Linked DNA regions of Cricetulus griseus. The protein of the gene in region 2 purifies or fractionates together with the protein of the main gene of each other region. This does not show direct contact. Links are inferred from orthologs where the notes say so. Each region holds a gene or a part of one and is shown on either strand. Other genes may lie near its edges. The genes, in order: Edc3 and Pim1.

Region 1 (4,373 bases), on a different chromosome or scaffold from region 2:
CCCAAAACAAAACAAAACAAAAAAACAAACCAACCAACAAACCAAAAACCCCAAAGACCACACAGTTGTTTTAGTGTATGCACTACAGATAACAGCACAAAATCTTTCAAAAGAGAAGGCTGGGGATGTGACCCAGCAGCGGAGGAGTATTTGCCTCGAAAGCACAAAATTCTGGTTTTAATTTTTAGCACCATCAAAACTTTTTTAAAAGTTAAAAAGCTGAACAAAAAGGGTTGGAGGGAAGGCTCAGCAGTTAAAAACACTGGCTTCTCTTTCAGAGGATCCCAGTTCAATACCCAGCATACACACTGATTCATGTCTAACTCCAATTCCAGGAGATCTGATGTCCTTTACTGGTCTTTTCAAATACTGCACACGCATGATGCACAGAAATACATTCAGGTAAACACTCATACATGTAAAAATAAAGTAATTTTACTTTTCAAGACAGGGTTTCTCTGTGTAGCATTGTAGACCAGGCTGGACTCAAACGCAAGTGTGTGTATGTTTAGCAGGAGATCAAACCCACAGCCTGTGCCTGTCCCTAGGCAAGCTGTTACTGAGTTACATCCCTAGCACAGGACAAATATTGAGGCATTCTTTTCTTTCTTTCTTTCTTTCTTTTTTTTTTTTTGTTTGTTTTTTGAGACAGGGTTTCTCTGTGTAGCTTTAGAACCTGTCTTGTAGACCAGGCTGGTCTAGAACTCACAGAAATCCACCTGCCTCTGCCTAACAAATTGCTATCTAGTTATAATCCAAATAAAAGAGTATCACTACACAGAAAAACAAACAAAAAATCCTAAGGCAGGGCCTCACTATGTAGCCCTGGCAGGCTGAAACGCAAGACCACCCCCCCCCCCCCCGCCCCCAGCTACGGGGTACTGTAATTACTGGTATGCACCATGACATTTGGTCATCCAAAATTTTTCACAGCAATCCCCCATAGAGCTATGACCTAAATATTACAAGGGGCTCCACTGTGTCTCTATAAAGGTGCTGCTATTCTGACATCAGGAAAGATCAACCTATGCTGTTTTAAAACTTCACACAAGTGGAATCACGCAGTTTCATGTGTCTGGCTTCCTTTCATCAACAGTACATCTGTAAAATTCAACTGTTGCATGAAGCAAAAGCTAATTACACTGTCTGTACTTTATTATTTAGGTATACCTCAATTATTTTAGCCTGTCTACCAAGATAAACAGCTGGCTTATTTTCAGTTCTAAGTTCCATTCTAAATAACTAACATTTCTTTCTTTTTTAAAAAAAAAAAGATTTTATTCATTTTGTATACAGTCTTCTGCCTGCATGCTAGCAGAGGGCACCAGATCTCATTCAAGGTGGTTGTGAGCCACCATGTGATTGCTGGGAATTGAACTCAGGACCTCTGGAAGAACAGTCAGTGCTCTTAACTGCTGAGCCATCTCTCCAGCCACCCAATAACTAACATGTCTACATGTGTTCTTGTTCATATTACACAGAAAAATCAGAGTCACAATTGTATTTGACTGTATTAGAAACTGCCAAGTAGAGTCAGGTATAGTGAAATACACTTATAATTGCAGTACTCCAGAGGCTAAAGCAACTGGGCCCAACACCCAAACCAATAATACTTGGTAATTAAAAAGCCAAGGCTGGTGGCAGCACAGGTCTTCAATCCCAGCACTCAGGAGGCAGATGCAAAAGGATCTTCGAGTTGCAGGTCTTTTGGGTCTACATAGAGAGTTCTAGGCCAGCCAGAGTTACACAGTGAGACTGTCTCCAAAAAAGGTAGTTCTTTGCCCAATACATACAACAAAAACAAAAAACTGGGTTACACCTCAGGGCTCCAGGTGAGATACTAACAGCTCGGGGTTAGTCATCTGTATTGTAGAAGGATTAAGGGCTCCTCTTAGCTCTGCAATTGGGAGACTGAAAATCAACTAACAAAGTTGGTGAGGGCTATTCCTCCAATACACACCAACACTCAAAACCACAGGTCAAGTTTTACTAACAAATGCAGTCTCATCAGAGAAAGGACTGACAACTGGAGCAGTGCACTGAGAGCAGTTAACCGTGGGCACTGGCAGGGCATCGGTATCCATGTCCACATCCCTGCCTGTCACAGTTAGCAACCAACCACCACGTGGCACTCGCACTCTTCCCGACTATTAACCCTTGTGGCCAAAAGGAAATGAAGCAAAAAGAAGTGGATGAGAGAGAGGGGGGGGAGGGAGGAGAGAGAGAAAGAGAGAGAGGGAGGGAGGGAGAGAGAGGGGGAGAGAGAGGGGGAGGGAGAGAGAGAGAGAGAGAGAGAGAGGAGGGGGAGAGAGGGGGAGAGGGAGGAGAGGGAGGGAGAGGGGGAGGAGGAGGGAGAGAGAGGGGGGACGGAGGGAGGGAGAGAGAAGGGGGGACGGAGGGAGGGAGAGAGGGAGGAGGGAAGGGAGAGGGGGAGGGGAGGGGAGGGGAGGGGAAGGGAGGGGAGGGGGAGAGAGAGAGTGTGTCGCTGTGGCAACCTAAAACGGCCCGAGAGAGATTAGACCGCTGTCGCCTCCCATCTCTCTATCTCGGGACTCGCACATCTAACCCAAATCCTTGGGCTCTAGACGTAGCCTGTGAGTACCCGATACGCGCGCGCATACAAACGATTACACACACACACACACACACACACACACACACACACACACTCACACACACGGAGTAACTACATACACACACGCACACAGAGTTCCTGCCTGCCAATCCTACGCGCACGAGAGAGAGAGAGAAAGAGAGAGAGAGAGAGAGAGAGAGAGAGAGAGAGAGAGAGAGAGAGAGAGAGAGAGAGAGAGTTCCTGCTTGCCAATATAAAGGTACAAGGCCTGGAAGCTCGCAGCCTAAAAATCAAACCGAGTGGACCACCCCGGAAGCGCCAGCCAAGGAGCACCGCGAACACCCGGCCTCCCTCGCGCTCACCTCCCACCGTCTACACCACACCACACCAAGCCGATCCCACGGCGCCAAAACACCACCAAGGGGCTTCACGCCCACCTCCACAGTCACAGAAGCAGCCGCCGCCGCCGCCGCCGGAAACGCCTCCGCGCCTTACAGACCTGAACTGATGTCACTTCCGTTGATAGCGTAATACGCCGGAGTGAGGAGGCCAGGGGGCGGGACTCCCGGGAAATTTGAGAGGATCGGCGTTGAGTGGAGCCATTGAGGGAGCAAACGAAAGAAAGTAACACTGCAAGTGTGGTGGCTAGTTTGTCTACTTGACACAGCTAGAGTTATCTGAAAGGCGGGAACCTCAATTGAGAAAATGCTTCCATAAGAATAAGATCTGGGATCTGGAGGTGGTGGCACACGCCTTTAATCCCAGCATTCAGGAGGCAGAGACAGGCCTGAGGCCAGCCTGGTCTACAGAGGGAGGTCCAGGACAGCCAAGGCTACACAGAGAAACCCTGTCTCGGAGGAGAGGGAAAAAAAAAAGAATATACGCAACTCTGTAAAGCATTTTTAATTAGTAATTGATGGGAGCTAGGCCCAGCCCATTGTGGGTGATGCTATCCCTGGGCTGGTGATCCTGGGTTCTATAAGAAAGAGGGTTGAGTCCCTGCGTTGGTGGCACACGCCTTTAATCCCAGCACTGGGGAGGCAGAGGCTGGCGGAACTCTGAGTTCGAGGCCAGCCTGGTCTACAGAGCAAATGCCAGGATAGGCTCCAAAGCTACACAGAGAAACCCTGTCTTGAACCCCCCCCCAAAAAAAACAAACAAACAAACAAAAAGAAAGGGTTGAGCAAGCCAGTAAGCAGCACTCCTCCATGGCCTCTACATCAGCTTGTGGATCTTCCAGGATCCTTCCCTGTTTGAGTTGCTGTCCTGACTTCCTTCAATAATGAACAGTGATATGGAAGTATAAGCAAAATAAACCCTTTCCTCCCCAAGTTGTTTTTCGGTCATGGTATTTCATCACAGCAATAGGAACCCACACTAGATAAGTTGGTACCAGGAATGGGATATTGTTGTTACAGACCTGACCATGTTTTTGGGAGGGTTGCTGAAGAACCTTGGAACTTTGGGCTAGAAAAACCACAGAATGTTGAGAGCTCAGTGAGTTGTTCTCAAGGGGCTCAGAAGATAAGAACACTGAGACCGTGCAGTTGATGGAAGCCTGGCTTGTGAAATTTCAGAGGGACGTTTAAAGACTGTCAGTACCATTTGCTATTTTTAACTAAGATTCTGTGGTTCTGGTTAGTTGGAACTGAAGAATCAGCTGTGATTAACAGAACTGCTGAAGCAAAACCTTTGCTGGGATACTAAATGCTGTTTGGCTGGAGCTGAGAAATTAATGGTCCTTAAGAAGAGAATAGCATTATTGAAGTGAAATCTGGGAAGTATCTCCTGAGAGTCA
Region 2 (4,386 bases):
AGGACAGAAGCAGGCCAGGGGCCCTTACTTAGGGACCCTGTCTCCCCAAAAGAAAATGAATAAATAGAACAAACGATGGCTAGGATATAACCCCCATACCCTCTTTTACATAGCATCAGATTTCATGGTTCACTCTTGTAATCCCAGCACTCATAAGAGTGGAGACACACTCTCAAAACCAGCCTTTCAAATATAACCCCAGTGCCAACCACCAAAGGGCTCGGGGAAGTTACCTGAAGAGACTCTTTGCCTGAAGAACACTTGACCCTTGATGATCTCTTCGTCATGCTCAAATGGAATATCTCCACAGACCATATCATAGAGCAGGATCCCCAGGGACCAGACCGCAGCCGACCTGCCATGGTATCGATGGTAGCGAATCCACTCTGGAGGACTGTACACTCGGGTTCCTGCCAGCCGAGGGAATTGAAAGAAAACTATGTTAGCAAAAATAAACAAAGCAACTAAGCTGAGTAGCTTCTTTGAAAAATTTTCTTTTGGAGACAAGAGTTTCTCTGTGTAGCCCTGGTTGTGCTGGAAGCCCATCTGTAAACCAGGCTGACCTCGAACTTGGAGATCACCCTGCTTCTGCCTTGAATGTTAGAATTAAAGGTGTCTGCCACCACCATTTATTTGGCTTACTTAAAAATACATTGTTTTCCTCTCCAAAACAGGGTACCTCTCCACCAGTCTCAACCCTAAACTGAAATCCCTTACAAACTGTCACAAAGATGAACAGAGCCACTGAAAAGCAAAAGTCTGAGGCCCTAGGCGGTAGAACTCACAGTGAGATACAGCCTTCAACTACCCAGACCCTGTCCAGTACCCTGCCAGAATAGACTCTCATCTAGACCCAAGCGGGTGAGGACCCCCTTCAGAAAGCTTTCCTCTGGGTTCTGCGCAAGCAAAGCAGTATACCTACACTCTTTCCTCCCCAGACAGGAAAGGCATAGTTACAGGGCTGGTTTCAGACCACGTGATTCCTGTTTACAAACTTTGGATAGTAAAAAAGTGCTAACCTCATGGTGCTCAACAGGGGGCAGCAAAGACTTGCCCAGGGGGAGGAAAAAAAAAAAAAACACACACAAGGGAGGACTCAGCCAGCCATTAACTGTTAAATACAAAAAATGCAGCCCAACCCTGCGTCCTCCATTGGCAAAGAAATACAAACCACAAGGCAGTCACAAGTCTTGAAAGGCTGTCGTTTGTCAGGGTGAGCCACTCAGATCATAACCCACCCTCTCGCTTTGATCTAGTATCCCTCCATTCCTTTTCTGAAAGAACGCGATCCAAGCCCCTCCCTAGGATAGGTTTTCAGTCTCCCTGCGGGAGACACCCAACTAATTTTCAAACCAGCAACAGATCTTATTTCACAACATTGCAGGCTTCGTCACCCCACAACACCCCCAAGTGTAGTGAAACCACGTCTCTTATTCCTTAACCCTCAAAAACAAAACAAGACAAAAACCTGCATGCAGTTCTAAGAACTACCTTAAAACTCCCCCACAAAACAAAACAAACTACAAAACCGGCATCAATGTCTCCCGCCACCACCGGCTCCACCTCCTTCTTCTACTGGTGAGAAAAGTGGGTCAGACTTTAGAAATCTGGGCTATAGCCGGTTGCCTACGACTTTTTATTCACGGGAAAGCATGGAATTTACTAAAATTCCACTTAAAAAAAAAAAAAGAAAAATTACAACCACGCCAGAAATGTTGCAGGTTCGTTCAACCGGCTTGAAATCCCCGGCTGTAGTGTGCCGGGAAGCTCGCCTGTGCCCCACCCCTGCCAGCACGGAGCCAGGCGGCCCAATGACCTTTACAAAGGGCCGGAGCCGAGGAGGCCAGCGGCGGCGGCGGCTCCCTCCCTCCCTCCCCGGGGCCTGCAGGGCTCACCATCGAAGTCCGTGTAGACTGTGTCCTTGAGCAGCGCCCCCGACCCGAAGTCGATGAGTTTGAGCTCGCCGCGGTTCAGGTCGATCAGGATGTTCTCGTCCTTGATGTCGCGGTGGAGGACCCCGCAGCTGTGGCAGTGGCGCACGGCCTCCAGCACCTGCCAGAAGAAGCTGCGAGCCAGCTCCTCCTGCAGGGCTCCCCGCTCGGTGATGAAGTCGAAGAGGTCTTGCACCGGCTCGGGCCTCTCCAGGATCAGCACGAAACTGTCGGGCCTCTCGAACCAGTCCAGAAGTCGGATGACGCCCGAGAAGCCCGAGCTCACCTTCTTCAGCAGGACCACTTCCATGGGCACGCGGGTGCCATTGGGCTGCGCGGGAGGGCGAGCGAGGGCCGGGGTCAGCGCGCCGGTTCCGGCACGCCCGTCACCACCCAGCCACCCAGCCAGCCACCCAGAACGAGGGAGGGTCGCGGGCCCGGGCTCACTCACCAGTTCTCCCCAGTCGGAAATCCGGTCCTTCTCCACGTGCTTGATGGCCACCTGGAAGAGAGCCCCGCGTCTCCATCAGAACCTCGCTCCTGCTGCCCAGAGCATCCCTCCGCGCGCGCGCCCTGCCCGAGGCGGGGTGCCCACTCACCGGCAAGTTGTCGGCGACGCGGATGCCCGAGTAGACCGAGCCGAAGCCACCGCTGCCCAACAGCGGGCCCACCTGGTACTGCGACTCCAGGGGCTCCTTCTCTTTGCCTAGGGAGGGAGCAGAGGCACGGGACACTGAGCGCGCGGCCCGCGCAGGGGGGTCCCCGGGCGTCCCCCGCGCCCCGCGCCCCGCGCGCCCGGGGCGGGGAGGGGTGGGGTGGGGACGCTCACCCGGCGCCAGCTTGGTAGTGTGCAGGTCGCTGCAGGGCGCGGCGCGCAGGTGGGCCAGGGAGTTGATCTTGGACAGGAGCATCCCCACCTCCAGGGTGCCGGTGTGGGGCCGGTGCTGGGACGAGCAGCAACGGCGACGGGGCGAGCTGGGGCTGCGCCGGCGGCCGGGGCTCAGACTGCGGGTGGCGTTGCGGCTCGGGCTGCGGCTGGCGCGCAAGGCCGAGGGCGAGTCAGAGGACGACTGAGGGCGCTGGCGGCGGGCGGGCTCGCCGGCCGGGTCAGGCAGTGCGGGAGGCGGCGGGGCGAGTGGCGCCGCGGGACCCAGGGCTGCTGCTGTCTGCGACTGCTGCTGTGGCCGCCGCCTCTGTGGCCGCTGCCGCTGCCGCTGCTGCTACTGCTACTGCCGATCCCGCCGCCGGCGCTGCCGACTCCCCTCCAGCCTCCTCCGCCACCGCGGCCGCTGCTGCAGACGCCCGGCTCGCCCTGCCGCCAGGAGTAAAGGGGCGGAGCGCGCCGCTGGGGAGGGCGCGCGCGGCGGGCGGGGACGGGGCGGGGCCTCTCCGGGAGGCCGAGGCGGGGAGCCCGGCTGGCGCGGCGGAGGCGGAGAGGGGGCGGGGAGGCGGCGGAACCAGGGCCGCTCCCCTCCGCTCCGCCCCCTCGCGGAGGCTCCGCTTCTCCCGGCCCCACCCCGCGGGCGCGGCTCCAGCCAACCAGGAGCCAGCCGATCTGCATAAACGCGCCGAGGCCACGCCCCCGCCCCGCCCCGCGCCTCGCGGTCAGAATGGTCGCTAACGCCGCCACGACGTGGCGGGAAGGAAAAGGCGCCAAAACGGAGGGGGAGGGGCGCCAGGCGTGCGGGGAGGCGGGAGCTGGGTGGCGCGCGCGGCCGGAGAGGAAGGATGCGAAGGGAGGAGGAAGGAGGGAGGGAGGAGGGAGGAGGGAGGGGCGTATCGATTCAAACCCAAACAATAACAAAGCCATCAAAGGCCGCCCGAGGCCAGCTCCGCCGGCTCGGGGTTTCTCCGGGATCGGGGGGTGTGTGTCGGGGCGGGGGCGGGGGCCGCAGCCGGAGCCGGAGCCGGAGCCGGAGCCGGAGCGTAGCGAGTTTGCGAGTCAGGCAAGGGCGTTGTTGCGGAGGCCGTACGGAGGGACCGCGTGTGTGCGTGTGTGGACGCCGATCAGGGTGGTCCTCCGGTGTGACTCAGCCCCCAGACCTCCAAGGCTGCCGGGGCGCGGTGACGACGACGCTCCGTGGGCCGTGCTGGGGGTGGTGGCTGTGTTTTGGGGGGCGAAGGCTGTGCAGACGTGAGTCACCGGCGTTTGAACACCGAGGGAGTGAAGGAGTCACGGGCAGGCCTGCGAGCATAGTGGGGGCGAGCTAGGCTTCTCAACAGAGACCCGAGCATAAAGGTTCTCGATTTAGAAATGCAGGGAAAAAAATAAGTAATTAGTTAAGAGGTAGCGGTAGGTCCTGTTTGATCCCTCCCGAAATCATCCCGTGTCCGAGTGCATGAGAGAGAAGAAATCACGACACAAATGTTAGCTTTCTGCTGCCAGATGCTGCCTCAGCCCCTTCTGCAGAGGGCGGGCGGGAGGAGGAGGAGGAAAATTCTTGATCGCGGCCAG

The links.
Region 1: the proteins of Pim1 (region 2) and Edc3 purify together in Homo sapiens (affinity purification with mass spectrometry; 3 studies listed by BioGRID and IntAct, counting the BioPlex papers as one, with this or other methods). This does not show direct contact. The link is inferred for Cricetulus griseus from reciprocal best matches to the Homo sapiens genes PIM1 and EDC3.

Annotation. Positions count from the first base shown.
Region 1 is NC_048597.1:169,351,908-169,356,280, reverse strand, and holds the start of Edc3 (enhancer of mRNA-decapping protein 3), read right to left. Parts: upstream 3,086-4,373; 5' UTR 3,013-3,085; exon of another isoform or gene 2,938-3,012; intron 1-2,937. UniProt on the Homo sapiens protein: Binds single-stranded RNA. Involved in the process of mRNA degradation and in the positive regulation of mRNA decapping. May play a role in spermiogenesis and oogenesis.
Region 2 is NW_023276806.1:257,963,068-257,967,453, reverse strand, and holds the start of Pim1 (serine/threonine-protein kinase pim-1), read right to left. Parts: upstream 3,080-4,386; 5' UTR 2,843-3,079; coding exon 2,761-2,842; intron 2,638-2,760; coding exon 2,531-2,637; intron 2,434-2,530; coding exon 2,383-2,433; intron 2,263-2,382; coding exon 1,896-2,262; intron 411-1,895; coding exon 234-410; intron 1-233. UniProt on the Homo sapiens protein: Proto-oncogene with serine/threonine kinase activity involved in cell survival and cell proliferation and thus providing a selective advantage in tumorigenesis.